4 linked regions of the Drosophila melanogaster genome follow. The protein of the gene in region 4 interacts with the protein of the main gene of each other region in a pairwise test. Each region holds a gene or a part of one and is shown on either strand. Other genes may lie near its edges. The genes, in order: CG13733, CG18609, CG15096 and CG14005.

The links.
Region 1: the proteins of CG14005 (region 4) and CG13733 interact in a two-hybrid assay, tested with the Drosophila melanogaster proteins (one large-scale study listed by BioGRID).
Region 2: the proteins of CG14005 (region 4) and CG18609 interact in a two-hybrid assay, tested with the Drosophila melanogaster proteins (one large-scale study listed by BioGRID).
Region 3: the proteins of CG14005 (region 4) and CG15096 interact in a two-hybrid assay, tested with the Drosophila melanogaster proteins (one large-scale study listed by BioGRID).

The regions. Positions count from the first base shown.
Region 1 is NT_037436.4:17,475,972-17,482,882, forward strand, and holds CG13733 (uncharacterized protein), read right to left. Parts: upstream 2,956-6,911; 5' UTR 2,836-2,955; coding exon 1,978-2,835; 3' UTR 1,824-1,977; downstream 1-1,823. Other genes in the region: CG34250 (uncharacterized protein), read left to right, coding at 340-500, 598-655; qjt (quijote), read left to right, coding at 3,391-4,092; CG6333 (uncharacterized protein), read right to left, coding at 4,274-4,894.
Region 2 is NT_033778.4:18,739,880-18,746,841, forward strand, and holds CG18609 (uncharacterized protein), read right to left. Parts: upstream 3,748-6,962; 5' UTR 3,697-3,747; coding exon 3,666-3,696; intron 3,607-3,665; coding exon 3,422-3,606; intron 3,360-3,421; coding exon 2,784-3,359; 3' UTR 2,638-2,783; downstream 1-2,637. Other genes in the region: CG17821 (uncharacterized protein), read right to left, coding at 3,938-4,498, 4,567-4,751, 4,802-4,844; Hs3st-A (heparan sulfate 3-O sulfotransferase-A), read left to right, coding at 6,038-6,357.
Region 3 is NT_033778.4:18,807,142-18,818,593, forward strand, and holds CG15096 (uncharacterized protein), read right to left. Parts: upstream 7,879-11,452; 5' UTR 7,551-7,878; coding exon 7,463-7,550; intron 4,320-7,462; exon of another isoform or gene 4,221-4,319; coding exon of another isoform or gene 4,181-4,220; intron 3,038-4,180; coding exon 2,901-3,037; intron 2,835-2,900; coding exon 1,749-2,834; intron 1,636-1,748; coding exon 1,471-1,635; 3' UTR 1,215-1,470; downstream 1-1,214.
Region 4 is NT_033779.5:5,797,810-5,805,158, reverse strand, and holds CG14005 (uncharacterized protein), read left to right. Parts: upstream 1-3,183; 5' UTR 3,184-3,272; coding exon 3,273-3,487; intron 3,488-3,550; coding exon 3,551-4,289; 3' UTR 4,290-4,642; downstream 4,643-7,349. Other genes in the region: CG7239 (uncharacterized protein), read right to left, coding at 1,316-2,387, 2,447-2,754.

The sequences.
Region 1 (6,911 bases), on a different chromosome or scaffold from region 4:
CCCCAGTCTTGGTTTGAGTCCAAGCTATCTCGCCCTGCAATGTCTCAAAATAAAATAACAAAAAATTCATATGATGAGAATTTCAAAGAAAAAACACGACATGGAGGCAATATATTACGTTTTAATAATAAAATAAAAATTTTACTTGTTTTTAATATTCGGTAACGGTCTTAGCATTGATAGTCACCCGCTAGAGTTGCAGAGAATCAATCATCGAAAGTCACCCGAAACAATCGATGAGTGAGAAAAGTAAATAGCCCCACCTCTAGCCACCGCACAGCTGTTTGCAAGCAAAATATTGGCGTTCTAATTGGTTATTGATCCGATATTAGTGCATTAATGGACTGCTGCGGTAACGAAGTGCGCAGCGAAAGTATCCACAACATGCTACAGGCCCTGGTGGACTCAAAGGTGGTCAACGTGCAGCTTTTGTCGATTGCCGTGGGCATTTTCTTCGTGGTCATGCTGCTGAAAAACAATTTTCGCAGCTTTTCTGTCACGTAGATGGATCCAGTTTAGTGTTTAATATATCTCATAATGTAATGTACGCTAAGGATTAATAATAACTACCACAAGCCACCTTGCATCTTGTTTCAGTTCTATGGTTTTTGGAGCACTCCTCGAGGCAGTGACGTCACGTACATTATATGTGTAATATTTTGGGTGCTAGAACGTACTCGTGCTTTTTTCGGTCTCAGGGTCATCGTGTTATTTCGTAGGTGTTTGCACAACAACACGCCCAACCCCAAAAATATAATTGTTTTCGAAGGCCGGGTGAACTGGTTTGACTGCCCCCGAGACTTCCACGGATCGTGCAAAAAAAAAGAAGAAAAAAATAGAGCCCAGAATTTGTTAATTTCATCATCAGGCGACTGTGATTCTTGGCAAGCTGTCTTGCGATAAGATAGGTTATTCGAATACTCGAAGTAAGTCCTACTTGGAACAGGCATTCTCATCCAAAAACTGTTGAACTTTTGCCCCAATTGCCGGAGTAGAAGCCATATCCAATCACACTCAATTGCTATCCACAAACGATTCCAATTGACCGGCGATTGATTGCCCAATGTCTGCACGCACTTCCTGGTGCAGCATTAGAATTCAATAGACGCCCGACTTCAGCTGGCTCCATTCTGCAATCCCGTACTGACTCATTGCCCGGCACTTTCAGAATTTATGCAATACTGCGGTACGTGCTCTTATGCTAAAATATTGCATTAGAACACCCAGCGAACGTGACTTGATTGCAGGGCTAGAAATAGCAGCACTACCTTTAAGCCCTCGGATAAGCCACTGAGACAAGTCTACCTATTCTTCTGATTAGTGTTGCTTATACGAACATGAAGGATCCCATAAATATTCTTAAACATCAACTGATAGTCCTGCAACTGTCTAATCCTTCATATAGCCTGAAAATCTACCTAACTTCACAGCTTACTAATATAAACAAAAAAGTTACATCTTTAGTAGTTTATTATTAGTTTATAATAATCAGAGAACATATGCATTTCTTAGAAATTTCCGTGAATAAATGACCATTATTACAAGCACAACTTACGCATTAAACAATAATAATTGATTGATTAATACATATTCATATGTATTAATTACATCATCGGATCATTCAAACTTTCCCAACAAATGCAGTTAAGCTATTGCTTACCACACAAAATAAATCAAAATAAAGCCATCCATTAAGCCGGATCATTAACCCGATTCCATACTGCTGAATGGATAATCCAGCAGCTTGTCAATGAACTTGTAAATCGGGAGTTCCAGGAACTCCGACGCCCGTCGAAAACGAAGTGCTGACTGAAGTTCCGTTTGGTTAGTTTAATCATTTACTGTTCATAAGAGATCTATATATGTATGTACATAACAATTTTTACAGAGATATTCGGTTACAGAAGAAATTTTGTAAAAAGCTTATCTAAAAACCATAAATTTGAATATCCATCAGATAATGGGTACGAAATCAGATCATCCCTCGACAGTTGACTGTTGCTGGTTACTTAACTTATTTTTCAGCGCAGAGGAGAGGCAGTCCAAGTTATGGGATCGAATTTTTGAAGACCTGGGATTCGCCTCAAAACTTGGTGGCTTATCAGAGCCCGCCGAGCTGGAATCTTCCTTATCGCCTTCGCCAAATTTCCGTTTCTTGCGATGCTTTATTTGATCACTCGGCTTGGGCATTGGTAGCTGTTCGGAAGGGATCGATCTGACATCAGCTTTATCGTCATGGTTGTTGTGAATCTTCTGATGGCGCGTTTTTTTAACTTTCTTCTTCTGGAGACTTGCCATGATACTTATCATTTCCTCCTGCTGGGCTTCGTACCTGGAGATGATGGCGTTCCGGCGCTCCAGCTTGGCGGTGAGGAAACCGACTTGGTTCTTGAGGCTGTCCACTTCCCCAGCCTGCTCGGCAATGGTCTTCATCTCGCGGCGCACCCGCTTCATCTCCTTTTCCACCAGTTCGGCATTCTGCCGGACTTCGGTCATACGTTGCTGGTACTTGTTACGTGTGAGATTGATCTGCTCCTCCAGGAAGGCAATGTACTTCTCCTGCTTAGCCACGTGCTCGTCAAGTTTCTCCAGCTGCTGGCTCAACACTGAACACTGCTCGGCTCCACCGCACTCCCGCTCATTCCGATTCGATTGAGCTGCGGCTAGTTCGCTCTGTAGAAGCTGGATCTCCTGTTCCATACGCGCCTGCAGAACCACCTGCTCCTGCCGATACTTACGATGTTGGTTGTGCTTGGAGCGCAGCGAGGACACCTCGCTCCGCAGGAGAACCACCTCGTTCTCCAATCGGGCTTTGGCTCGATCGTGGTATGGCATCGCGCTGGACGAATGAAATTTTGGTAGTCCAAAACACACGGCTTGTCTATTGGAAAATTGCTTCAAGATTGGGGTGTCTATTGGGATTTTGAAGGCATTCAGTGGGGAATCCGAGATCTGACATTTAAAAACTTAAATAAAACGTTGTTATGCAAGCATGCTCCGGTAATTGAAATTTTTTTTGATTACGCAATTCAATGGCAACCTTCGATATTTGTTCCCCTGTAAATAAGATCTGATTTGATATAAAAAAAAGGCATTTACTTTTTATTTCGACCAGATAAAAGTGCCCGTTTTACAAATCGAAAAATTCGAACGAAACGAAAACCGAAAAATCTGTGCTTTCGATTTAAGATCGATATCGTAAATTACGATAAATTCTCGATGATTCCAGTTTTTAAGCGATTACATTCCACGTGGCATTTGCTTAAAAACCTAATTTCAGGTAAATATCAACGTTATTTATAAATATAAGTCCATTCAAAGACCACTAATTAATAGGCTAGCCTAACTAACCATCAGTCTTGAACATTTGGCTTAAATATTCTGGATAAAATGGAATTCAATTACCTTGCTGATTCCGCACTTTCCACTTTAGTGGAAAACAAAAAGTTCTTCAAGGAAATGTCAGATTTCGTGTCCGATTTCAGCGATGGCGGGAAGATCAAGAAGTTGCTCGAGCAGAGCGTTGAGCAGAGCGTGGAGCACGCCGTGAATGTAGTCCATATGAAGATAAAGCACCAATCGCTCAACAAGGCTATGAATCAGGTCAAAAACTCTAGCGCCACCATCGAGGAGTTCGAGGAAGTCTGGAAGGAACGCTCCAAAGCGGTGGAGCAGAAGCGCATCAATGTCAAGAATCTACACGAGTTCAAGAACTTCGTAAAAGCAGTTGAATCAGCAGCTGGTCAGGCGGGTGCGGAAGTCAATGATCAAGCGAATGGCACCGCCTATGATGAGGACCTTATTATGGAAGACTCCGGCAGCGAGGTCTTCTCGTTCTACGATCCCTGGTCCAAGGCCCTGATAAAGAACCCCATGCGCAACAAAATGTGCGGTCACATCTACGACCGCGACTCGGTGATGCCGATCATAATGGACCGCATTGGCATCCGATGCCCGGTGCTCGGCTGCGCCAACTTGTGCTACATCCAGCCAGATCACCTGGTCCAGGACGCCAATGTCCAGCAAAAGATACAACAGAGCATGTCTAACGCGATCGTGGATGTAACTGCCTCGGAGGAGGACGAGGAATAGAACAGATAATGATTGTGCCCAACTCCGTCCTTGTTGAGAATTAACTTAGTAAAATAAAATAAATTCATTGTTGCCATTATTTTATTTTATAATAACTTGTACTTCTATTAATACACATATATGCTAATTTAAGCTGACCACAAAACCCAGTGAAACCACAATGTACACACAAGAATACGATTCACAACATATTCCTGTACCTACTTGTGTTTTCATTGGACTTCTTGGTCGAATGCGAAATTTTCTTGGAGTGAAGATACTGGATCAGCAATTGGTTGGCCGAAGATTGCGGCTTCACTTGGATGTCGCTCCTTTGCAGCTTCTCCACGGCACCGAGCATGTCCTGGCAGTGGTGGCCAATCCGCTTGGCCCGATCCCTTTCGACACTGGCCAGCACCTTTTGCAGATGCGACTCCAGCATGATGGCATTGTTCTTGATGGTGGACACCTGGCGCTCATAGTGCGCCTTTATTCTTTTCATCTCCCGCTGCTGCTTCTCGATGCGACGGGCCTGCATAAGGATTATGTCCGCCAGGTTTTGGCGATCGGTGTGATGCTGCTCTGCCTTACAATCCTGCTGCACCAGGACACCAAATTCTTCCTCGGAGATCGGACTTCCTATGCGCTTCAGGCTGGAACTCGTATTCCGACCGACAGTTTGTAGAGACTGCAATGGTTTCCTAGATGGCCTGGAGGACATCTTCTGAGTCTTTTGCCGCGTATCTAAAGTTCTTCGGGAATATGGCCTTTCATTCGGCAAACCAGGCAATCCATCGTTGCAAATCCTCACGCCCTTGGTCATTTTAAACAATAATTTAGCCACTCGTGAATTCGTTCTGACTCTTAATTTTATTCGAATTAGTTCAAATTTTGTCGATTAAGTGAGGGCAAACGTTGTTTCACCTCTAAAAATATTTAATGGTTAATTGAACTCTTAAGGCAATTCTGCGTAATAAATAAGCAACTGAACTGTTTACTTTTTTATGATATAAATGTTCGATTATGAATCATGCAACACTCAAATCTCTGCAAATATCCTCAAATTGGCGGAAAGTGAAAAAGTCGATCACTTTTACCCTTTTTTTTGTAACGATACTGACCAACTAATCTCAGTTATTTGAAAGTACTATAAAAACCACAAGCAAAATGACTGCAATTTGATAAACTCAGGTTCAAGGTGGGCTCATTTTTGGCAAGATCTGGTCAGAGTTTTCATGATTGTATGGGTTGAACCAGAGTTGAAAGTGCCACGCCCATCACTTGAGGCGACCAACCACACGCAAATAACCATATATGTATGTACATACATGTATGCATATGAATATTTAAGTAGGTACAACAAATTTGCACTTCTTGTATACTTATCTTAATATCTCTTAAGTAAATTTGGAAATAAGGAAAAATGTTTGAAGTTTCATACATTGCTGTCTTGGTTAGAGTATTCCAAAACCATTGATTTATGTTTTCTCTGCCTTTTGGTAAGCATAATTTGTATATTTTTGGCCGCGATGCCGCACACTTGATAAGGGTTATCGATATGCCCATGGATATATGCATGCATTATGTGCGACTGATCATTATTTGTTTTCTTCCCATAGCCTGTGCATCGCATTCGCAAGTTGTAAATTATTTGGCAGCAGGAAGCGGATTTCGTTTGGTTTTCGGGGTGTGGAAGATGGATGGATGGTGCTGGCCGGCGAAAAAAAAGACATTCTTAATATCCTGAATACTCATAAATTCAAAGTACCCCCTTGAGCCATAATTCAAGCAACTTCCTCGAATAATTCGATTCACAGTCCTTCAACACAATGCCAAGGTCTGGTCGTTTATGTCACCATCACTGCCTTCGGCTTTCTATGCTTCCAGTATATTTCTTAATATGACAAACTTCTTCCCACTTATGCAATTTCCATAAATTCAAGGTCAGCCATACAATAAAAGTCCAGACATCAGATACTATATACAACATACCCGGCACATGTGGACATTCGTCTGGCTACTTTTTCGGCAGCCAAAAGATTGAGGAAGAGTAATTTTTCGCCAGAGATGAGCGAAAACATCTGCGGATCAAATATATACATATATTTTAATAATAATAATTTTAAAATTTTTAATAAATAAAAATGATAAAAATAACTCACATTGATTACGTTTCTAATACAAAGAAATGAAATCTGATAAATCAAGAGCTTTAAATACCATAATGATGTTCATCCAAGAGATTCCAATGATACTTTGCCTAATAATTAAAGTCAAATCAAATTAAAAGTTAAAATCGTTTTGGCAGAAAACTGTTAGTAACGATAGATAGTAGTTGAAATGAGAGATTAATACAAATACATAAAATTGTTATCACTGATATAGTTAATGACAATAGTTAAAAGGCTATAAAAGGGTACAATGTAATTGTGGTACTTCAGATAACAAGGCCTTTGAAAATGTTGATTTTAATTAATTTTAATTTTTAATTTTAATTTAGCCATTGTATGTCTACTATACCAAACAAAACAAGAACTTAATTGGGTTTTTTGTAGTACGAAAAATTATGTGGAACCTTAAACATATAAATAAATTTTATACAACTATGTATAATATTATTTTACAAAAATAGCACAGCATTCTTGTGTAGTGAATCAGCAGGGATAATAAAAACAGTAAAAGATTAATAATGTATTAAATATAAATAATAATTATGAATAGGCAAGGAAACTCCATACTTGTAAATGTATAATTTAATTATTTATTTAATTTGGCTTGCATCAACCAGACTCGCTACTAACTGCCAGCTCTATAAATCCCGCATATAATATATACAAAAT
Region 2 (6,962 bases), on a different chromosome or scaffold from region 4:
GTCTCCCAGGTCGCCAAATCGCCTGGTAAATGTGGGTTAACAGGTCCTCCGTAGACTTGGCCCAAAGGTGCAACGAGTTGCAGTTGTGGCATTTTTGATTGACGGCACATTTTGCATACGGGAATTTTGTTTAGAAGGCGAGAAGGATCTCACGCAGGACCCTTTTGGTAACCTCAAGCGCCAGTCAATGCCAGAATGCCACCCACAACCCCACACCCACAGGTGAGCTGCCATTCCTTACGAGTCCAGGACAAAACCAAGAGCCATACATTATGCAGGTTGTTTGTTATCGTTCGATAAAGTGTAAATTATGGGAAAGTTGCCAGGCAGCCAGGTCAGTTCCCCTAGGTACGGCAATATATATACATATATTGTATATATATATCCATGTGTTACCTTTTGCCATATAATTTCAGATAACTTTAATGTGTGTCTTTTGTGCGTAGTGTGCTCAGTGGTCTTGAAGCCTGCATTGTTAATCGCACAAATGGCATTTGCATACACGCATTTGACTAATTTATGCTGACCTCTGGAATGCCTTTTAATTGCCCACCCAGCTGTTCGATGTTTTGGTGCTCGGTTTGCTGTTCAGGTTCTGTCAGAGGCCACAGACATGGGAAACTGAGTGGAAACATCTCAAGGACTGTCAATCGCAACTGGAGGGTCTTATGCAGATTTCCGTTTGACTTTGGCCTGCCTTTTGCGCACGCAAAGCCAAGTGTTGACCTCAGTTTCGCTGCTGTCATAGCTATTACCCTTGTATTCCCTCAGATGTTAACAATAGCCGCCTCATCTCGTTCATTTCACAGCCAATTTTGTGCATTTTCCCACACTCCGTCCCCATTTTTTTCATTTCTTCTGTGTGCAGCTGCATCCTTGGCTTTTTTTTCAGCACTCACGTCCCTGCTGCCGCTTTTTTGGCCTTTTGTCCTGCGTGGCTGGAAAGTGTGAAAGCAGCAGGCGAACGGATTTCTGGTCTCGTTTCGCCAGGGACTTTTGTTTTTCAATTGCCATTTGCCATATTTGCGGCAATTGTTTTCGTTTTCTCCAGCAGTAAATACAATTGCAGGCAAGTGAATGTTCCATGTTTCTGTGCACAGAGGAAAAAGACTTTGCAGTTTAAGGAAACAATTTCATTAAAGATTATGTTGCAGTGATCTATAAGAGCTATCTATTTAATCAATATTCAATACCTCTGTGATACATGGGAATTTGATATTAAACTTTAATTCTGTACATAAAGTAACTGAGTCATCTATTGAGTCTAATACTGAAGTTTTCGCTTAAAAATTGAACAACTATTCTCTCTCTGTACTCACAGTGAATTTCCGGCTTAAGTTTGACTAGTGCAACAGAGTTCAGCTACGGTTATAGCGCCTCCGGTTTGTCCTATCAGCTGCCAAGGAGCAGCATAAATGGGATAGAATGGAAGCTTGTTATGTGCAGTCGTTCGTTGTGCCACACACACACACACACACACACACCCAAAATCCCACACACGCTCAAGCCAACGCACTTGTTAGTTGCCTTCCATTTCTTATGCTTATCAAGCGAAGCTTTTCCAACGTGCTAACAAACGAGCAAAAACAGCAGGAAAAGCTGGAAAAGCAAAGAGTAGGGGGCAGCATTTGATTGCCTCGAGCTGTTTTTCCGGCGTGCAGTTTTCACTCTGTCGATATTTAACTGGCAGGGCTTTGCCAAACCTTTCTCAGTTTGATCGATTCTTTCAGTTGTACTGTCAGATATTCCAAACACTTAAGGGATCGGCTGGCTATCTAGCACAATATCATACCTCTGATTTTTGCTGCTTTCTCGCCAGCTGTCTTATAGACAATGCGATGTGAGTAATACGTTGTAAACTTACAATAATTATTCGATTACAACTACTCAATATATATGGATTGAGCTTAAAGCTACGATTTGCAGAGCTCTTGATTGAAATTCCGACCTTTTTTGAGTCGAAATTTCTCTTTAGCATACATTATTGGTGTTCTCTTATTTCCACAAAAAAAAAAACCTTTACTTTCAATAGGAGCTTTTAGAAATGTTTTATAAGCTATTGACAATAAACAAACCTTGAACAAATAAATTAAGAATACGATTACCACCACGATATATTTTGTTATTTTGTTTATGTAATTGTCTACATCGCTATGGAATATTATGAAACTTTAGTACACACGGTTCTTTCCTATAATCATTCAGTACTTTTCCCCCTTAAAATGTGAGTTCAATGTGTAGCGGATTCACACGCTAATTCAGTTCCAAGTCCAATATAACACGCATGTTATGACATCGTGCTTTGTTTTTTAAGCCGATAACAGATCAAAGGGTTCCTTAGTCATTTCAAATATTCATCTTTCATAATATTCTTTTGGGTGTTGGCAATTTTTCCAGTCGCCGGTCGCTTGAGCTTTATGTTATTAGGTTTTCGATACATTTCGACCGCCCATCGGCAATCATTTTCATGGAAATTTGTTGAAACACGCGACTTAACGTGGAATGGAAAATTATTTTACTTTCTGTATACGATTAAGGTTTTTATAAACATCCCATATATAGCTTTGATTATATCACGTTTCACGCTGTTCCGTTGGCACAAAAACACAGCCCCATAATGAAATGCAGAAATAGTTCGGGACAATACCATTTTATTGTTTCGTTCAGTTTAGTTATATCTTCGGTCCGAAGTCACATTTGAGAGAGCAGAAGTCATAGTGATTGCTTAGTTAAATACATGGACTAATTAAATGTGCATTTACGTATATTTAAATGACTTAAGGCTACGATTGCTTTGCGTTGATTTTCGCCTTCGGAGGTCTCAGATAGTTGTCGATATAGAATTTACCAAACAGATAAATGAACACAACGCCTTGCACCATATTTAGATAGAGAAGACCGCGTGGAACGCCACAATTCGGTGAAAAGAATCGCACATAGATGGCATAACTGAGCAGCATGAAGAACTGGCAGAGCTGTGTCAATGTTATATACTTCTTCCACCAGATATTGGCCCTCACTCCGGGATATTCTGAAGACAGAAAGTAGTAGAAATACATGACCGTGTGCACCAAGGAGTTCAGCAGTCCAACGGCATTGACATGGCCTCCAGTTCCATAGTAACGGGTTAGGGCATAACTTCCAAAGGACATGAACACGTGGTGATATATGTGCAGGAAGGTGATCTGCTTATAGCTCTTTCGCAGCACAAAGAACACCGTATCCATAAGATCGAGGACCTTGTTCAGCAGATATGCGGCATGCAATACTCGTTCCAATTGTTTGCGTTCATGGCCCTCGGGAAAGCTTTCTATGCAGTGCAGATTGCAAATGCCCACGATGAAGAGATAATAAAAAACCTGAAAAATAAAGGAACACACTTTTTAATTTCAAAAAGATTGTAACAAGTCATCCAACTTACCATTCCGAAGTAGAGACCATTGTATAGCACCTGAAATAGATTGTAGACCTTCAAGACCGTTTTCAAATCATATGGTTTCCGGTTTCTCATAAAGATCTTGCCCAATTTAAGGACAAACAACAGATATGCTATCAAAATCAGTGTGATAGGCCATGGTGATCCAGCCAGCGGAATTGGGTTAGGATCTGTTGAGTATTTCAAAGAAGTGATATACTTGTAGTAATCAGCACATTGCCGAACTTACCCGCTTGAGGTATGCGCAAGTATCGGAGCATTATTAAATGGTTGATTGTTGTTTGAGGAACCGCTGGCGACTGTTTCAGCAGTCTTGAAACAATCCAGTTTGTTTTAACGAAATGAAGCCAAATCAAATCACATAATGTATTATTCAGCTATTTGAACTGCGATGTCTGTCCTACATTTCGGAATGAGAGACCCAGAATAAAACGCTCAGTCTCAGTACACTCGATTGAGACCGGCTCAATTGCGTAAAGAGAACTGCATTGTATTTATAAATCACTGCTCTTTACTTTTGGCTTTGACATAGGTTTGATAGTAAAAGTTTCCAAACATGGTCATCATGGAAACGGAACCTCCCAGCTGAACGTACTGCAGGACCTTGGGAAAACGGCAACCGGGATTTAGCCACAATGTCAGTACAGATTGGGCGAAGAGGATCATGAACTGTAGGAACTGCAGCTTGGTGATGTACTCTTTCCACCAAAATGTGCTCTTCACGTTTGGATACCAAGCAGATGCGAAATAGTAGGCGTACATCACCACATGTACAAATGAGTTGAGATATCCCATCAGGTTGTATTGTCCTCCGGGTCCGTAGAAATAGTATGTCAATGGCACACCCAAAACCATGAATACATGATGGTATACATGGAGTACGGTGATTTGCTTGTTGCTCTTTCTCAGCACAAAGAATATCGTGTCTATCAGATCGATCACCTTGTTGATAAAGTAAAAGTAGGTCAACAAACGATCGACATCTTTATCTGGATGATCCGAGGACAGCATGGTCATGCAGCGGAAATCGTATAGTTTTTTAATAAAAAGATAGTAAGTGCCCTGCAAGTACAGAGATATGAAATTAATTTTTTTGTTTATAGGTATAGCAATTAGCTAAAAATGCCCACCATTAAAAAAATGCCAGAATTCATTAGAACTTGACAGAAGTTGTAGATCAACATGGCTTTTCGCATATTGTAGGGCTTACGAGATCTCATGAAATCGGGTCCCACTTTGAAAATCAGCAGCAGGTAACCCAAAACTATCACAATCGCCGGTAAAGGTGTGCCAAACATGGGCAAATGGACGGGATCTGTGGATAAGTAAGTAAGTGGATATTTCTGATGCAAAGATCAGGCTGACCTGCCGGCAGCCCTCGGAATAAATCCAATAGTGTGAAGTTCATGGTGTCTCCGTCGAATGCAACTGAGTAGCGCGTTTGCCATTCGCCACTTTATATACCAATGCACCTGCAACAGTGTATGCGGACCCAAAACACAATAACACCTGATTATGTATGCTCCTGCAGACACTATACTATTCTCGTAGTGCAGTGCCCCGACCAAGAGTCGTCAAGATTTGAATTTCTAACGAAGTTTCTAATTCATCCGCACGCATTGCATGGATCCCACTTTGGTGTCAGGTGGTTCGCTTTCCGGGCATTCAAACCTATGTTTAGTACTTGCAAAAATATATAAATTTAAAATTAGATATCAAATGTGTTTTTCAAAGTCTACTTACTAAAACTGTTTTCAATGTATTGCATTTCTGAATATCCTCTTCTAATGAAAGTTGTTTTTTCGGAAAGAATTTTTGCTCTATTGCTAAAATATACATCATAATTTTATAATAAAAAATGATGAAAAGTTAATGTATACGTACTATGGTATCAATAATTTATGGCCCTGACTTGCCTAACCGATTTCTTTGTTTTGCTACTCTTTTCAGTGGTTTAAAGCGTTTTGGCAGACAATAGACGATGGCTATGGGCAACATCAGTAGCAGCAGCCAAATCGGAAGAGGCCATTACGGCTTTAATCCCAGGAAAGGAGCAACAACAGCCACATCAGCAGCAGCAACAAATCTAATTACAGAACAACAATAAGGCCAGGACCTGGTGCCACCGATGATGATGATGATGATGATGTTAGAAAACTTCCGTTTTGTTTGCCCGGGCGGAAATGAGGCTCAATATGTCGCCCAGTCACAGGTTACCTTTCCAATTCTGTGAGCAGTGACCTCGAACGCATAGAGCTAAAGGAATCCCAGCCCCCCTCGATTGCCTGAAATTTAATTAAAGCGCAAAAAACTCGAAACGGACTCCTGCGATAAGGGTCGAAACAAAAGAGCAGTTTCCCCCCAGGAGGAGGACGTGGAGGAGGCGGCGTCGGTGTGTCGGTGGGTTGGCCCATAAATCTAACCGCCCACCAGCCACCCGGCAACCAGGCAATACGGCAATCCGGCAGCAACCCATGTTGCACGTTGCTGCAATCGAGCTGGCCCACGTCCACTGGCCAATTAGCTGCTGCAACAGCCGAGAGCGGCTATCGTTTGGGCTCCATTGAACGCGTACTCTAGCCGAGCGCAGCTGCCTCTCTGATGACTGCCGCCAAAAGACGTGCGAGCAGCAGCAACAGCAGCGGCAGCAGCAACACTAGCGGCAGCAGTAATGGCAACGAGCAGCACTCCCAGCAGCAACATCTGCAGCTGCAGCAGCAGCAACAGCAGCATGCCCAGCCAAACGAGTACCAACAGTTGCTGCAGCATCCCCACCATCACTATCAGCAACACTACAGCGGCAACAACAACACCAGCGGCAACAACAGCAATAGCAGCAACACGCAGCAATACCACCAGAGACAGCAGCAACATCAGGCGACATTGCGCGACTGTTCCGTCAAATTGCCGCTGGATATCCTGTGAGTACGGCCAACAAATCATTTGGGGTTCGAGTTTTGCTATTGCACGTAGCCGATAAGAAGGCCAACAGTCGGAACCGTAAAAAGGTCAAGCCCAACTCTCCATCTCCATTTCCCCAGCGCACCAGTGTCCCAACACCCATGGGAATCTGGTGTGGAGATAGCCGCACGTCTGGATGGTTTAATAAAATTTACATTTTAACAACGCGATTGAAAATTGCATTAACTTTAACGGCACAACATTTGCTCGATTCGAATTTACCGCGCTGCTGCACAGAAAACCAGTCCACTTCGGCAAAATGAATCTGGGAATTATAAATATTTATCCGTGGAGCAAGGAGCGGGGAACAGAAGACAAAGTACAGCAGGCAGAGGATTGGAGACAGGGACAAATGAAGCGTTACAAATGCTTAGTACTGCGAAATGGAACTTATTCCAGTTTTGTCAGGATTAGAGTGCTTGAGCCCGTCTTTAAAGCTTTGCGTTCGGCGGGGATTTGGGCTTAAAGGCTGCCTGTCTGCCAACCTAGAAAGTGTGTGACAACGACAGAACGAAAAGGAGCAGAAACAGCTAGAGAGGGAGGACTCCTTTCTGGGTGGCGCTGC
Region 3 (11,452 bases), on a different chromosome or scaffold from region 4:
TCGAAATGATAGTTTTACTGGGAATCAAATTTAAATTGTGTTGACTCAAATACTCGCTCACTCCCGTCACATAGCTAAAAATACATGTGTAAATATATATATAAAAGTAAATATATACTGAAGTCGTCTCATACGTAACACTGCCATTGTTCATATCGCGTGCTTGGAAAAAAGGCATTTATTCAAATTCCGCTTATCAACAAGTTCGCCCCGCCAGTGGAATTTGCCCCCCATCCCGCAACCCAAGCCGCCTTGTCCCCCACTTTTCATTCGCCCGCCGAGTTCGAAGCTATAAAATGTGCACGGCACTCAAATGTGAGAGATACGCTCGAAATAGGGATTAAGTGATTGCAAAATTGATTTGCCAGCTCGTCTTTGTTTTGTGATCCAACTTTATCTGCTGGCGGAGTCTAGAGTATAAAGTATTTAACTCAAATCTGCGTTTTCAAGTCTGCAATCTTTGCTGCGTCAGCAAAGCGTTGGAATGTACAGGTCGTTCTCAGCACGTGATTTTTTTTTATTGAAAGCAAATTTTATTCCATAACCAAAACATCAGATTTACGTACCTAATGATAAAGACGTTGAGGTTGATCACCTGGTAACTTCTGTTTACATGAGCTAATTCTACATGTATTCTACATGTATATGCAGCTTACACTGTACAAGATTTCTCCACAACGATCTCTACTTTTAAAGCATACTTTTTGGGGCGTTTTGTAAACCAAATCCAAAGTTTCATTGTTTGCTCCTTCATTCAGAAAATCGTCAAGCAATTACTAGTATAAGTAGACGAAAATGTTAAAGTAAGCAGATTTTCATAATTTAGAATATTTTTTCAATTCAAAAGTTTGCTATTTAGTTGGGGCCTGCTATTAGTATAGGTAACTATTGATTTTGCACAAAGAAATCCTCAGAATTAGGAACTAAACATTTTTACTTGAGCTGATCATAAGACCGTTTCCAAAAACAATAAAATATCATAGTTAAAAAACTTCAGAGAATGCAAAACGAAAGTGTTGGAAACATTTCTAAGATTATGATTGATCTTGAGCACTTTACTCAAAATAGATGAACGAATAATTTTAATTTACCTGACCTTCAAAATCGAGCAGTTCCCACCCACATTAAAGACCCACCACATGTGGGAATCAAACATCTCTGCGGTTTTCTTTTCACATGTTGCTCATGCTCTTTTTATTGTTTTTTTTTTTTTTGTAATTTTTGTTTTCTTATTTTTTGCATGGGTATTCTTATCACATAGTATTAACAAACTAAAACTTAAGACGAGTGGAATGCAAATACGAAATAGTCACAGTTAACAAATACAATTTACAAATATACACGGCGAATGCGAGAATGCATTGCACCTGGCTGCAAATAGGATTGATAGTTTTGGATTTGAAGGAGAGCGGAACTAGCTGACTAGTAGTTTCGGTAACCATTTAAATAAACCCAAGCTCAAAGCTTCATCTAGTGCTGCGACTCCACCTGGGGCGTGGAGTTGCGACGAGGCTTCGCCGGAGGATCGTTCCAGGGCTGGACATTCGCCTTGCCGAAGATCACGTACAGAGTATTGCCCACCAGGTAGAATCCGGCTGCAATGAAGAACACAATGCGCCACTGCTCGGGATCGTGCTGGAAAAAGGTAGCAGGAGATTGGGGGTTTAGTCAAGGCATTCAATAAAATAATTATCCTGACAAGGATATCAGGCAAGGATATAATGATTACAAATCGATTGTGAACTCACCTCATTTGTGACAATGAATCCGACGATCAGCGGAGCAATGATGCTCATAATGTTGGCCACGCCGTTGGTGATGCCCATGAGGATGCCAGCGAAGTTGGGCGACAGATCGATGTGGTTCGTGTTGAAGCCCAGGTAGGTCGCTCCATTCATGCCCACGGTGAAACAGAGTAGGACCACAGCCAGTTCCGACTGATCTGGGTTCACATAGCCAAGGCCAACCAAGGTGACCATAGGAATCCACAGACCAATGGAGTTGAAGAGCTTCCTGCTCGTAGACCTTGAAATGCAGTTGCGGTTGTTCAACTGTGCGGATATCGACGAGAATACAAAGGACATGGCGAACATGCAGACGTAGGGCAGCGAGGAGAGAAGAGCATTCGACTTGATGTCCTTGCCCAGGATGTTCTTCATGTAGCTGGGGATCTCGGTGAGCAGGGTCCAGAAACCCCAGTTGTGCACCGAGTGTGAGACGATCAGGACGAGGAAAGCGGGTGAAGTGAAGAAGCTCAGCCAGGGCGTGGGCAACTGCTCCTTCGGCTGTTCCTGGCCACCGCTCACCTCGTCGGCCTGCGACATCTCGATCAGCTTCTTCTCCTCCGCCGAAATGGACTTGCACTCTTGTGGCGATCCTGCGCCGAAGAAGAAGTACACCACCGACCACACGCATCCGATTCCTCCAGAGATATAGAAGATGCTGGGCCAGCCGATTGGCGAGGCTGCAATCACTCCACTGGTGGCCAGCATGAGAATCGTTCCGAACTGGTTACCCGAGTAGGCACAGGTTCCCAACGTGGCACGCTCCTTGGGCGGTGCCCATTGGGAGAGGATCGTGTGGGTTGAGGGAAAGACCACGCCCTGGCACAGACCTTCCACCACTCGTAGGGCGCAGACCAGCTGCCAGCCTCCGATCTTTGCGCAAATGGGTGTCAGGATGTTCAGGATCGAGCAGATGGCCAGTCCCGACAGGATCATCACTTTGCCGCCATATTTGCGAGCCAATTGACCAGCTGGCACCTGGGTGATCACATAGCCCCAGAAGAAGCTGCTCAGCAGCAGGGATTTCGTCTTCTCCGACCAATTATACTCCTGGAAAGCAATAGTAATTTAGTATTCTGCTAACTTCATTACTGACTTCGCCATATATGTACTTACGGGAAAATCGGGATTGACGGAGGCGGCATCGGTCATGGCCACCACAGCCACGGAGAGGTTGACTCGGCAGCCATAGGCCACCGTAAGGGCAAAGAATAGCAGTAAGACCTGGAAGTGACGGACACCCAAGCCGGAGTCTGAAAGGAATCAGAACGCAATCGATTAGGTAAGTTTCGGTAATCTGACACCTATATTGATCTTCAGCCCAGTCAATGGGCAATCACCCATCGATTAGCATTCCTAATCAGTCGCATTATCAGCCGCATTATCAGAGGCACATGTACCTAAATGTTATGACTGTGGGGCTGTCTCTGTAGGTCACCTGTAGGTCGCTTGTGGCCAAGACACGGTCATTCTAAGGCCCACAGATCCGAGATCGGGCCCCCAACTGAATGGATTTATAACTGAGAGACTACATGCTATAGTAGTTATTTCTACCATTTCAGGCGTAATTTACGCCTAAATTTATCATCCCTTATCAGCCAGACAAGCACTGGATATACAATTATTTGCCTTTCTATTTGCATTTTGGGGGGGGGGGCGGCTTCTGTTTCTGGTTTCTGGATTACGAAAAAAATTCCATTCATAGATATGGCGCCCAATTGTCGGCCACACTTCAGCGGCTATGTCTGCGCCTCCGAACCACCTAACCACCACCCACTTTCCAACCCTTTGGCCCCAAGTTACTGAGATATAAAACTATATCTCTATGTATTGTAGTTGTGGGCTAATGTTCGGTGTTTGTTTAATCTCGAGTTTGCTGACAGAGATTAACTAGCTGTGAGTGGGCCATAAAAAAGCAGTTACAACCGCTTTACACCGAGCTATTTAAAAATCCCGAATTAATCCCCATTTTCGCTTCTATGCATTCTAACTGAATTTGGGGGCTCGTCTTTTATGGATATTCTGTTATCATCGCTGATAAGAGTTCAACGCAATTTTTTGCCTGTTTAGAGCTGTTTATAGTAAATATATATTTTTCGAGCAAGGGGAAAGAAGCTGTGGCAATGTTGGAATTATTTTGCAGTCGATTTAAAAAGTTTGAAAATAGTCGTAAAAAATATATTACTTTCAATTATAAATAAATTTAGAAATCGGGTTGTAATGTGAGTTTTCATGCTTTATGAAACAAAAATTGGATGGCAGTTATTTATTTAATTGCATATTGCATACAAAAAGATATGACTTTATGTTTTAAGAATCACCTAAAGGTACTTCTTTCCTTAACTAAGCTTAATGTCTTTTAAGTTCTTTGTAAAACCCCTTAAATCAGGACCCACCTTCATCCTCAAAGCGACGATTCTTCACAGTGGTAACCATACTTGGATTTGGTTTAGTTAGTAACTATGAATATGTAGTGTGTGGAATTTAAGGCAAAGGCACTACCGTTCGGCTTGGAGCCTGCTCACTAACTGATGGCTTCTTGGCGGAGCATCAGCAGGTGCTTTACGCAAATAGTCAGATCATCTAACCAGCATCGCCCAGTAGTCGTGTGGCTATGTGGGTAAGCCTATCTGTATTTGGTTGAGCTACAGCTCGCGGCTACAGCTGTATCTGTATCTGTATCTGTGACGTTGGCTGTCGCTCTGATTTGTTGACAGTGTAAGAGCGCGTGGCAGTTGCACCCCCACCTCCACCACCCCAAAACACAAACCCATTTTCAAACCCTGAAGGGGTTCCACCTAATCTCCAGCTTTTGATGTAACCAATTTAGGCATTATGCTGATCACACGGTCACCGAATGTTACGATCCTATCACAGATCCTAAATTATCTGCGATTTATTGCCTAGCCGCTATTTTCAAATCGTTTTCCGATAGCTTTGAACTTGAAAGCGGTTGGAAATTGGATCGTATTCCACATAGCGAAGCTTTGCATTCAGCGCCAAAAGCTCAAGCGCCAAAAGCCAAAGCTGACCAAAGCTGCAATGTTATTGTTTACTACGGTAGGTAATGGCTATAAAGAACTGGCAGCAAAACATTAAAGCTTTTGCTAACCACAAGTCACGCAATTAGAATCGTAATTACGGAATAGTAAAATAGAATTATGCATTTTAATTGAGTTCCATTTCCCACACTGATGTTCAGTCACTCAATGAATGAAGACCGCTGGACACGCTTCTGGGGTAAACACATCAGAGCCTTAGGGGTCTTATTGCCACTATCATATGGCTGATAAGGATATGGCGAATGTGACAGGTGGAAACTCCGCTCCGAAGACGTTAAGACCAACGACTTTCAAATGTCCAGGCACTTCAGTTTCACATTGACCAGATAGCGAGCGCCACTCGATGACATTCTAGATAGGGTTTCCTTTGATAGCCGGGTGTCGTTGCTGTTCGTGGGATAATGGCCGTCAAGTGGCAAGATGTCACAACTTGCCCCAGACAAGGTCCACTCACTTGGCCACCTTGTGCCGCCGTGCGGATGGATGGTTGATTGGGCGAATGGATGGATGGACGGCTGATAAGCCTGCATTTTAGCCGGGTTTTTTGGTTGGGTACAGACGAACGCACAGCAAAAACTGGCGGAGCGAGTTTTTTCCAAGCGATAGAACCACCCACAATGCAGACGAAAAATAATAAGTAACAAATTTGCATTTGAAATTGAATTGAATTGAAATTGAAATGGATATTCCATAGGTTGGTATTGGAAATGTATGTCTATGTCAAATGGCTGAATTCTAATGAATGCCACACGGTACTAGAAGAAGTGGTATTTGGTTGTAAAACAACTAGCTTAAGCATCGAAAAGTGGAAATAGACTGTAAAACATTATTGTATTTATTTTTTTAAATACTTGTGCATTTGGTCATACATTTTTTCCAGTGCCTTTGTTGGCCTATCAGCTCCATAACCTTCCGTTCTACCCGTGATTTGTGACCCGACTTGCGGTGTCAGCCTCGTCTCGTTATGAGGTTTTTTGCGTTATTTAGCGGGCGCCATGGCGCCTGCCTTGCCAATTTGAATATTTAGTGAAATTATTTAAATATGCAATTACAAGTAATCCAAACTTGGCTGTTCATTTCGAGCGTTCATGTGTAATTTATGCTCTGACGGAAGAGTTCCCCGCATTTTGTCAAGTGCTAATGAATTTGCATGCCGGCCACTTGGCGCCCGATAATTGCACGCAGCTCTAAATAAAGATATTCGATTTATTAGCGTTAAATGTGCATATTTAATTAGCCACGTGCGTTATCCCTAAAGGCTTGGCTCCAAGATATCATCAAATATCCATATTCACTTCCCCCTCGACAGCCGAGTCGTTTAGTCAAAGCAGGAACATAATAGGAAATATGCGAGATTTATGTTTTCGCCATATACGCGGCCGACTCTAATTGTTCAAAGAATCGTATCTCTCAATCTCAATCTGAATCTGAATCTGAATCTAAATCCGTAGCCGATGTTTGCTGTTGTTTAGTAGCAGTATTTGTGCAATAGTTGCTCATTAGTTGCCGGCACTAAACTGGATTCGCCTCAGACAGCCTGTCCCCGCATATTGGAGCATTCTTTGTGATCTATTCTGTTTTGTTTGTTTATCTCAAAATTCCACATACGCCCGGTTGGCTGCCACCCAAACAAAAAGAGCACAAAATGAAGTGATTCGATTCGCTTTGTGTGTGTGTGTTTGTTCTTACTTTTGCCCTGGGTCGCGATTTGCATACAAACTTTGATGATTTATATTTGCAAAGCCACTTCCTGTCTCTTCGATTTATCGGATTAGTTCTGTGGACAGTCCACTTTCATCCCAACTAAACTAATTCAGATTTAATGACTAGCCTCTGTTTTCGACCATAATAATAATTATAATAATAATGAGCTGTTTGTTCTTACTTTTGCCCTGGGTCGCGATTTGCATACAAACTTTGATGATTTATATTTGCAAAGCCACTTCCTGTCTCTTCGATTTATCGGATTAGTTCTGTGGACAGTCCACTTTCATCCCAACTAAACTAATTCAGATTTAATGACTAGCCTCTGTTTTCGACCATAATAATAATTATAATAATAATGAGCTCAGTGACTAACACCCATCGAGCGAAACACATTTTGGCACCATGAAAACACTTGATGCAGTTAGAACGAAAAAGTGAAATAAGGTGAATAACAAAAGCAAATAATTAACCGTCACTGCCACTTAAGATTTAATCACATTTTGTGAAATTAGCAAACTGACCGCACTTCAAAATTAATTGTTCGTCGTAATCGAACAGCACTTCAGGTTTGGAAAACTTTCGGCAAACGATGTTTTATGTTCGAGCCTATCGCTTTGGCTTTTGCAAATCACTGAAAAAAGACTCAAAAGTCAACACTATTAGTTTTATATAACTTTTTATGATGCAACACATCGTTAAATCACTTTCCAACTAAAATTCTCGCTCTGTGGCTTTTTGTGGGTTTTCAAATAAATTAGACTATTGGCCATTATTATTATTTCTGGAAAGTAAAACCGCCTCCCTTGTCGCAACCCACTTGTCAAATTGGTTATTTCCTCCCACCAGCAATAAAATAAGGACCGACCGACCCATTGGTGTTATCTAACCATGGTGCGTTGCTCCACTTACGTTTGCCCACGGCCTCATCCTCTTTGTTAGAGTTTTTGGCTTCCATGTCCATGGTTCCATTGCTGCCACCGCAACACATGAGTTTCATGATGACTACTGGCTTTTAGCTTTTACTCTCTCGAATAAATTACTTTCTAAACGCGTGTTTGGCAGTGTTGTTTTGGTGGGTGGTCCGTTTGTATTGTTCTAACACTTTTTCGCTTGGGCCGTTCTTAATGCGGCGTGGTAATTAAATATTTGCCAGCGATCGAAGCAAATGTCAACATATTCACAACCGATGCAATCGCTTTCGTTTCTTCCCGATTTCGATAGGGTCGTTTCAATAGGATGTTGTTAACTATTCAGTTCAGTTTCAGTTAGAGTACTTGAGTACCGCTCTCGACGACGCTGCGCTTTCACACCGACTGAACGCTGAGTCGGCGCGGCGACTCCATTTATACGCTGCTAACGATCGATCGCCACTCAAACACGCTCCGTGCTCGCACGCTCCAAAATACGTCACCGGAGATTTCAGCCAACTAGCCAACGGGCCAGCTAGTCAGCAGGCACTCCATGAAAAGCACTCTCCACTGCAAAATCCGGCGGACAGAGAAATTCCCCAGAACCAGACCACTTGCCCGGTTCGTGGACAGCCCGTGGGGTGGGCGTTGTGGCAGAGATATCCGTAAAATCGAATCTTATCGAAGTCATCTTTAGATTACCCGACTTGTCAGGGACTCCGTGTACGAAGTGTACATATGTACGCGTAGATGGGAAAGACATCGCGCCCAAGTCAAGTGGCCGGACCTCGCACCCAATCAAAGGAGGCTCATTTGTTGATCTTGACATAATGATATATTCTATGGTATCAATCCCGAGGGCGATGCGAACGGCATGCAATCCACCAGCCGCACCGAAATGGGCCAATGGAAAATTTACAGCCGGCTAACTGGGGGTCTTCAGCTTTGCGAGTGAATGAAACTTTTTTGGTAAACACAGATTGAATTATTGGGCGTCAAGGGAAACCCCGATCAACAAAAAATAAAATACGAAAAATACGAAAATACGAATAAAAAAAAGAGCTCAGAGTGGCGTAGCTTAAAAACTGGTTAAGCGATCACTTGCCGTACTCGTGGATGCCACGGAACTTCGCGCTTAACGATCTATCAAACTATCTGGAAATTCCTGGCCGAGATTAGAGTGGAGTGCAGTGCTCTTGACATTAGGGCACTTTCACTTTCATCCATCCAAAGGGGCACAATTAGAAATGTTCTCGGCTGCCGCCCAGTCAGCAGGTGTCGATTGAAATTCTTAGTTATGCATAGTTCATGCCTGGCTGCTCCAATGGAATTCGTTTGGGATCCCATCTATTGTCGCTATATGGCGATTGTGTTGTTTGTTTTAAAGACAATAACTGGAATTTCTTGCAACTATTATTATTATTACCACCACGTCGCGTACTTTGTACACAGATATCTCATTGTATCTTCGACTTTTTTCTTGAGACGCACATCACATTGCCAAATTTATGGGCCCCGCAAATGAAAGTTCGATCTAATGGTGCGTCAGCAGAGCAAACAAGTGTCTTAGATAGCTTCGCGACAGTTGGGTCGATGTATCTGGCAGATATTTGCTCACATGCCCGTCTCATGTCCCCTGGAAATGAAAACAAACTGATTATCTTTAGTCGCTAAACAGTGGAAGCAGACAAACGCGTGCACCAGAATGGTTGTACTAAACGATCTTAAGTCCGCACGTATAACGTGTCCCATCTAAAAATCGGCACCAGGCGGGGGGTTGGGACTACGGATCTCCTCCTAATACACTTGTCATGATGCCGCTGTTTGGGTTTCGATCTCATCAAACGAGTTACGACGAGTCAATGAGAGCGAAGTTATGATGCTCGGAGTCACGAATCGATTGACTAAGTTTCGTTAAGCTTTTTTGGCAGGTTTTGGTAGACTTTGATACCCTACCGACTCTATAGGAAATTCACTGGGGATTCCAAATTTATCAAAAGGCGCTACACCGAATACGGTTATAAGTCGCATCATATATAACACGACAAATCTCCTTTGAAAGCCAATGATTGTGTCAGTAAAACGCTGAAGTAGTATCACATTTCATGCTATCAATGTGACTGTAAAATTTAAAATTTCAATCAATAGAGATTTTGGTATGATTTATATGTTTTAGATTATACCTTTAGTAAAAATTCTATGAGCTTTAAAAAAGCAAATAATAATTAGTAGACTACCATTAAATGGACTGCCTGAAATTTATCCCCATAAAAATCCCCGTAGTGATCGCAGAATTCCCCATAATATCATTGTTTACATCCATTACAAACATAGAGAGCTAATCTAACTTTGGTTTTAGTAAAGCTACTTAACCATTTACCCAATCGGGCTTATGCATTATTGAAATCTTAGCTCGCTGTACCGAATTAATTGAGTTTCGATGGCCTAATGTTTTATAGATTCACCCATATATCGTGCTTGGCACAATAGGTTCGCCACAAAGCGCCAAAAATATATCCGTTAATAGATCCATCGGTTGCAAAAATAGCTACCTGTCGTATGCAAATCGATTATTGGTTTATGTAAATTGGAAAGTTCTGCCGCACAGCAGCTCTTCCGTTGCCGAATGATGCAGCATTTTCCGATCCCAAACCGAATTTCCATCAACCCCCCCCCCAGCGAAGTGATCACGCTATGCTCCACTGGCAAATCCGTATGATATCTGTGTTTTTGTTTCACCTTTCCGCTTTTCACGTGTCAGGTGGCAGAAGGGGCGGAGTATTGGTTGAAAATAATTGCCAGTCAATGCAATTACACATCCTCCGTCGGATTTTATCGGGCGGGTGTTGTTCGACCAATTACAATCCGTTACACATTTTTATTTGCAGCCCAGCGAAATGAGCAGTTGTTCTAATGGATTACAGATTCGTACTATACTATATAGACTTTCAGTCTGCATCTGATTGCACAAGTTTGCCGCCGGACTGGTGATGAATGATGCCCGGGTTCTTAATATGCAAAACGTGCTGTTTGGCTTGAACTTGGCCAACATGTCGACTTTAGTTCCTCAATACGAAACTAAAGGCTTACACCCCCTCAAATTCAAGTTCAAGTGCCTGTCGTTCAATGGAAAACGAACGAACTGCCGCCAAATTGGCAAGCTTTGTTGGCCCCGTCAGTGAGCACATAATCACATAACTAAGCTAAGTACGACCTATTCGATGTTGGCCATACTAAAGTCGACCGATCGCAATTGGCCGTTCGAGCGGCCCGTTGCGCATGTTAATTGCGGGCCAATAGCCGATTTTGGCTCAGATGACATTGACTAGGGTACTTCCACCCATTTCCATTGTAGCCCACTCTAGAACTTGGGTATTCCGATGGTGAGTTTCTGCGGTCTTTCAACCGAACTCATCAGGAATTAAGTGCACACGAAGAAATTATGACGTATTCCGCATATTTGATTAATTATCAACAAATTTATAATGATTATTCAGTGCAATAGTCAAATTTATAGCATCTTTCACTTGATTTTTTCTTTTAAGAATTCCGCATAACTTAAATATTTTTTTTCAGTGCTGTGAAGCTTAAAACGTAGATTTCCTTGGGGAATTCTGGAAGTGCGAATACGAACGTCATCGTCAGATATATTTTTATGCAAACTTTGCACTTCGAATGCCAAATGAACCCAATCGAATTGGGTTGTCTTAGGTTCGCAGTTTAATTTTCGACGTCAGATCGAAATTTAGCAGCCATTAGGAGCCACCTGTTAGCATCTTAACGTGATGTGATCAAAAGAAAGGTGGCAGGTGCGTCAGTTGACCACCCGAAATTTTGGCTTTTAGCGCGGCTAATTCGAGGAATTTTCCTCGCCGCTTGATGGGGGAGGCAAAACGACATCCATCTAATCTAATCGATGCTGTCCCTAAATTAATTACGAGTCCATCAGTGGCTAATTTGCGACAAGCGCCATAAAGCAATAAGGCCCAAT
Region 4 (7,349 bases):
CTTAATTCTTTATCAGTAATAATTTTAGGAGGCTTACCCGTTTGCCAGCTACCATTAAAAGCTAATAATCGCCTGCCCAAGCCGTAGATTGACTGCTTTAATTTCCACGGGCTTTTCACTCGCGCTCCGTACTTCGCATCATCTGCTGAGGAAACAGATCCTAACGCTAATTGGAGCAACAGCAACGAGGCACTCAAGCTAAATCCACCGAGCATAGCTGAAGGGACCACGCTTAATCTGAATCTGATGTTGGAAACAAGTGCGGAGTGCTCGGCATCTCCAAAGCGAGTGAACTTTGCTGAGCGTAAATGATTGTATTAAATTAGCGGCCAATGAAGGGAAAACCATAGCGAAAGACCCCATTTAACAAGTGGAAGCGACACTCATTAGTACTAATTCTCATAAAGACTTCGGAGCCCTGAGAACTAGCTAATACCTCTTTGCGATGAAACTATGTTCGCTTTTTAAACTATTTTATTTTTTATTTATCACGATTTTGATGGCACAAAACAAGTCGTTTTATTTGAGTGTGTAGTGAGTATCTTACAGTCGAATCCCTCTAATTCAGCTTCTTAAATAGATTTCATACTTGAATGTAGAATATTTTGCCATTAGGAGGGCGTCTACCTTCACGGCTTTAAAAGTAAAGATAACAAAGATTTTTACTTTCGATTTCTAACTATATTCTTTCAACTTCAAGAAGAAGATTGAGATGGGATAAGTATCTAGCATTCCTATTTCAATTTTTATTTGATGAAGATCGTTTGTTTTTTGTAATTGTATGCACTTTTAAAGATCCTGCCGATTTTATAAACATTGACATAAACAATCCATCCACAAGGGCAAAGACCCTAGAATATTCTATTCTAGTGTCTTTGACAAGGGTGTATGCTAGTCTCCTTTAATAAAAATGTTGCATACTTTTCAGCGCTGTTTAATCTTAAAATGTTATTTTACATTTGGTGCTCAGTGCCTCGATTTTAAGTTATTTTTCTATTAAATAATTATAAAATTCTTTGCTCCAAATAATATTATTATATAACTTTGCAGAAATCGATTGTGAAAATATAACCCTTCGGTTTCAAAACTCGAAAATCGATAAAAAAAAAGCAATAATCCAGCGATTTTCGTTATTTAAATATATTTATTATTTAAGTTTACTTTTTAATCTTACAAACAGTTTTGCATGTTTTTTGTTAAGTTTCGTGGCACCGATCAGCCTGCGAAGCGGCATGTTGCAGCAATCCAGTATCTGAAAACCAGTGTTCGTGCACTGCGGTCCAAAATTGAGGTTATGAAAAGTCGGAAAAGGAGTTCACTGCGGCCGCTGGGCCGTAGGATGCTGATGCTGCTTCTGCAGCTGAAGGACGTGGCTCAGAATCTGCGCCTGCTGCTCAAGACACTTGGGGAAGAAGGTCTGCATGAGGTCGACCTTGCGTTCCTCCAGCTCCAGTCGCTGCCGACATATCTTGGTTTGTTCGTAGAGCAGCTGGTTCTTTCGCCGAACTTCCTCCATGTAGAGCGCCTCCAGCGAGTCTGCGTGTGGGGGATTCACAGATCCGAATGGACGACCGCGCTTCCGTGGCACAGGGACGGGGGAGGCGCCAACGACGGCGTTGTTGGTGGTCGAAACTGGAGCTGCAGCCGGAACCGATGCCGATACCTGTGCGGGCACCGGCGCTGGCATGCCTCCGTTTGCGTTTGTGGCCACGCTGATGGTGTTATTGCTGCTATTGATATAGGCTACCGCCGTTATGGGCTGATGGTTGACGGTCGATGTGGCCGCAGTGCTAATAACGCTGTTGTTATTGAATTGAGCCGGCTGCTGCTGAAATTGCGACTCATAGTTTGTTTGGAACTGCTGCTGTTGTTGCTGCTGCTGCTGCAGTTGTTGCTGCTGCTGTGGCGTCTGCAGCTCGAGCAGCTGAGCCGGCTCGGCTGGGGAATACTGTTGCAACTGCTCCTGAAAGGGAATGGAGCGGTACTCATCGTCCTCGTACTCCTGCTTGACCACCTCGTCATACTGGTCCGTAAACAGCTCCGTGTTGAAGCTAACTCCGCCGCTGGTGTTGTTGTTGTGGCTGCTGCCGTGATTGCTATTGCTGCTGCTATTGTAATAGGTGGCAGTGCTTGGCTCACTGGCCAGTCCCAAGCCTTGCTGCTGCTGCTGCTGAACGGATTGCTGCTGTGGCTGCTGCTGCAACTGCTCTGCGGACGCATCATCCCGGGGCGGTGTCATGTCGCGGTTGTTGAGCAGCGCCTCTGGCGGCAGCGGATCGGCGTTCTTGGGCCTGTGCAGGTTCTTCAGGATGCGATTGATAATGTCGTACTTCTTCCAGCGCGTAGCATAGCTCGAAGGATCCGCCTGCAGCTGTTTTTTGACTTGCCTTAAAAGGGAAACCAGTCAGTTAATCCGGTATAGCAAAGTGTCTAAACGGTTACCTACCTGAACTTGGCCCTGGTCTGGTTGACCTTCATCTGGATCTCCTCGGGCTTCACGTCCACGGCGAACCGGTCGCGCAGTTCCTCGGCCCACCGGCCAAAGAAGATGGTGTTCTTGCCGGTGCGCGTCAGGCGCCAGTTGTCGCGTCCCCAGATCTCGTACAGGCGCTCCTCCTCGCTGGGCGTCCAGTAGCGACGCGCCTTCTCCTTGCCCCTGCCATCGAGCAGCTCCTGACCACCGCACATGCCTAAGTCCTGCTCGGCACCGCTGCCGCTTCCGCCCGCGTTCAACGCCAGCTTCTCGTAGTCCATCGACTGCTCTGCACCGGCTCCTGATCTGCTCCCGCAGATGTATCCCTGTAACGTTGCCTTTGGATATGCGATCTCCACTCTAGTTACACAATGCGACGCTGTGGTAGAATGGTTGAAGCCAAGTGCAGTTTTTCCGCACAAAAAATCAACAACAGCTCTGATACACAGAAGAGTGTGACCTTGCGGCGCGAGAACGCCGAAAATGCCTAGATTCCTGAGCGAATTTCCTGAAATAAGTAATATAATAAATTTCATTTAGTACCATATCAGTATCATGTATATACTACAGCTGGGAGAATGGCTTTGGGGCTAGTCCAATATTAAGAAATAAAATTATTAAGATATTAGATATATCTTTTCCAGATTTCAATAGCTCTATAAGAAAATTTAAATCATTGATGGTATTTTTTGGCGCCTGCCGCGCTCAAGCGTTATTGGTATTTCCACGCCTGGTCCTTGGTCACGTACGAAAATGTTTGGATTATAACGATTCCACAAAATTGAAATTAGACCGGAATATGAGCGGCCAGAAGCACCTGCGATTGCGCTACTACACGTCGCTGGAGGAGGCCATGCTACTGCGGCTGTGGCGCGAGCACCTGCATGCCATACCCTCCTACACGGACAACCTGCCCATTTTCCGGGAAATCGCGCACGGCCTGCAGCAGAACGGAGTTCGGCTCAATAAGCAGGAGGCTCGCCGGCGCATCAACAGCTACCGCAACAAGTATTTGTGAGGCGCAGCAGCGGCTCGGGTCAGTTCACAGTGCTAATATCTCCTTCCACTTCTCTGCAGGAACGATCGCAATCGCGTGGGGGGCAATGCGAACTTCGCGAAGGATTGGCGTCTCTACGCGCTGATCGATTGCCTCTTCTGTCCTGCCTGGCCGTCGTCCGCCCTCTTCCATTTCCGCAATGTGCTGGAGACGATCCGTGCGACAGCACGTGTGGATTTGCCCGCCCTGCCGCCACTGCTATACACTTCGCCCGCCCAGCTAAAATTTGAGCGCGACTCAGAGGGATGCACCTTCCTCGATGCCCAGCCCCTAGTTCCCGCAGTAGTGAAGACAGAGCCTCTGCCAGACGAACACCACCAGCTGGTGAATATTGAATACAAGCCCACAGTGACGCAGCTGGAAAACGCGGCTAGCCACTACCTGGAGAGAGCTACTGCCGAAAGTGTCATTCAGCGGTCGCCTCTCACGCCTGCCAACCACATCCTGCCCGAGGCAGAGGATGCGCCATATGGAGGCCACACCAACGGTGGCCAGACGGACGCCGAACGTTCGGCGAGCAAAAGGAGACGAGGGCGACGTAGTATACTGCCGCACTCGGGCAAGATCACAATGGCAATAGTGGAGGCGCTGCGCAAGGAGAACAGTTTGCTCGAGCAGCAGAACGACGCCTGTCTGCAGTCGCTCGTGCGCAAGGAGAAGCAGTTCCTGGACATGAAACATAACTTTCTGGCGTATATGGAGCGGCAGGAGGCAGTGCTGGCGTTAATAAAGCAAACGACCATCAAGCTGGAACCATGATCCCGACTACTAGCACCACGTGGTAAGGACATTGTATGACAGCTTTAGCTTTAAGTTGGGAATAGAGTCGCGGCGCTCGACCCTGTGTATGTTTTTCAATTCGTTCCTTTCTCAGACACAGATGTCTAATTCACTCGACGTACAAAGCAGCAGCATAGCGAACCGAAGATATTATAATTTCTCAAACGTTCTTTTTCTAGCGTCATAAGTGTAATGTGTATGAACAATCGTCTGTGCAAAAGATCAATCTATACGGTCTTTAGTCTTAAATTAAAAACATTGTCTTGAGGCGAACTTGTATGGTAGCTACATTTTTAAAAAAAAAACTAAAACTAAACAACTGGCTAAAAAATAAATTAGATGAAAGACTATTATACTATATATATATACTATACTATATAGACTATACTATTATTTCTATTGTTACAGAATATCTTGTTGATATAATAGTAACGAAATCAAACATAAATTCAAATGAAATCAGTGTGAATAGCCTATTAAGTTTTGCATTTCGATCAACTTAGCGTGTGCAACAACCGCCGGTTATTTGTTCATCAACCCCTGCTGCAGCAGTGTGGCCGTAGCCGGAATGTGAAAATATCCGCAAACACCGCATGCGGACCTCTCTTAGTCGCTCTCTTAGCGCACAATGCGCTCTCTGCCAACCGAAATGCCACAGACTTTTTGTAGGCTTTTCCACTTTTTCGATTTCGAGACTTCGAGCGAAACGGTCGTGTTTTTCGCGTGTGTGCGGGTGGCGGACGCGCGTGCCAATCGGAAAAGGCCTTTAAATCAAATGAGTGGCTCGCCAAAGGAGCGCATCAAGGTGTGTGCGATTGTATCGAGTGTGTGTGCTTGTGCGGTGCGGAGAAAGCCAGCCAGCCGCCAGTCTGGGATAAAAATAAAGATTAAGATTGGGATAAAACAAACGAACGGCAGCGAAGTGCACAAATTGCCGTGGAATCGGGGCTAAAGAAGGAAAAACAAGTGTGCAGCACACACGGATTGAAATGTTTGCCAATGTGTGCGAGCGTCACCTAAATAAACAACAAAAAATTCGATTTGCAGCAAAGAGAGCGAGCGAGTGAGAGAGCGCGAGAGTGGGAGGCTGTTATTGTTGTTGCTGCTGTTGCCGCCGCTGCATGTGGCATGCCCGAAAATCCCAATCACAATCAGCTGAGCCCTGCCGCGCCTCTCCCTACCTCACCCCCCGCACCCATACGCCTTCTCACACTGTTTGTTGGCCAGTGTAAAAGTTTCTCGTTCTGTTTTGCGTGTCTCCTCCGTTTCTCTTTCTCCAGGGCCACAACACTGGGCTACAAACTATGTGAAAACCCGTTTCGTTACATTTCGCTTTGCCCCGCCTAACCCCCCCCCCCCCCTCCCATCATTAATTCGGTTTTTTTCTCTGCTGTCGCGTCACGCCTCTCACGTCTTTTTTTTACTGTTTTGTTGCAGTTGTTGCTTTTGCCCAGCGCCTCTTTCATTCATAGAAAACGGTCAGCAAAGCAAAGCATAGCGAGGCGACAGCAACAACAAACAGCAGGTAGAGCAGAAATATTAGCGCGATTTCTTTTCGTTTCGCCCAAAAGAGCAGCCAAAAAATCAACAAAATACGAAACACAAAGCCAAATCAAAAGAAATCAAATTTCAAATTCGTGCGGCCACCAGCAAATATCGAAATAAAGAAATTATCTAAATCATCATCAGCAGCAGCACAAAAATCGAAAATCTCCTCGCTGTGTGTGTGATGTAAGTGCGATAATAATATTTAACAATTGTAAAAGTTTATTTTATACATCATGCCTAACTGGCGCTATTGTTCGCCCCTTTTTTTTTCGTCTTCCGCCTTTTTTTTTATGAAATTTGCTACTCATATCAGACCAACTTCGTAACTACATCAAGTACAATTTTTAAGGTTTATAATGTTACCATAATTTGTTTAAAATTTCCCATGATTGTCGTCATTTATGGGGTTTTCCTTGAGCGCTAATCATGCGGTTCTATACCACTTGAATGATAAGATTGATAACATTCTTGGCAATCATTATCGAATCTATGGGAAAATCATAACAAGTTCCATTTTATTCGCAGGCAGAGAACTGAAATTAATCGTTTTGGTTAATTGCCAATTTGATGAGTTCCATTTTCCAATCGCGATTTAATTTTCACATTAACAACACATTTGTTAGCCCATTAAAAATTTGTTTGGCATTTGTTTTCTTTAAAAACAGCTCATTAAATCGCCGGAGTCCACATAAATCTTCTCGTCGTTTGTGGCTAAATATTGTCACTTAGCAAACACTCGAAAATATATAACTTAATTTATGCGCACGACTATTAAAAAAGAACTTGGAGGTGTCGAAAAAAGCTAAATATAGGAGGAAGTGTATTAGGTAATTGTGTATTCCACATTGTTATAAGCACTACTGTCTTTTTATTGTTATCTGACAATTCTATGCAATTTATTAAGTACATGGATCTTAAGTTGTATAAAAATAGACATGAGCTGTACATAAAAAATCAACATTTCGCTGCGAAGTGGTTCGAACGGGCAATTTAACACGATCTACTTAACTTGTTGTGTTGCTGTTTATTAATAAAATATTTGCCAATTATACGACAGTTTGCGCGTTTAGTTCCATGTGTTTCGCCCTATTATTAAATATTTATACTTGATAAACACGTGCTTATTTACACCATTAGTATGATTCGATCATTTTCTGGGTAATCAAACGATAACTGAACTAAACAAATGTTTTTCTCAATAATTGCGAATATTTGTATAGTAAAACAAGCAGAGCAGTTTTCTGCATCACAGAGCTCAGTATCTGGTATCTGATGTCGCATATTGTAGATAAGAAACTATAGTAAGGGACTTGGTAAATTTAAGGCGATACCAACGCATTGCGGTGTTGGGATTACGTAGAACATAGGACCTTGGATGCGATTAGCTCGGAAAGATGTCTGGTTTTTAGATAAATAGCGAGAGAAACAATCTAATACACAAGATTCAAGCGGAAGTTTATAATCGTTGCCAAGAAAATTCCAGAAGGCTGA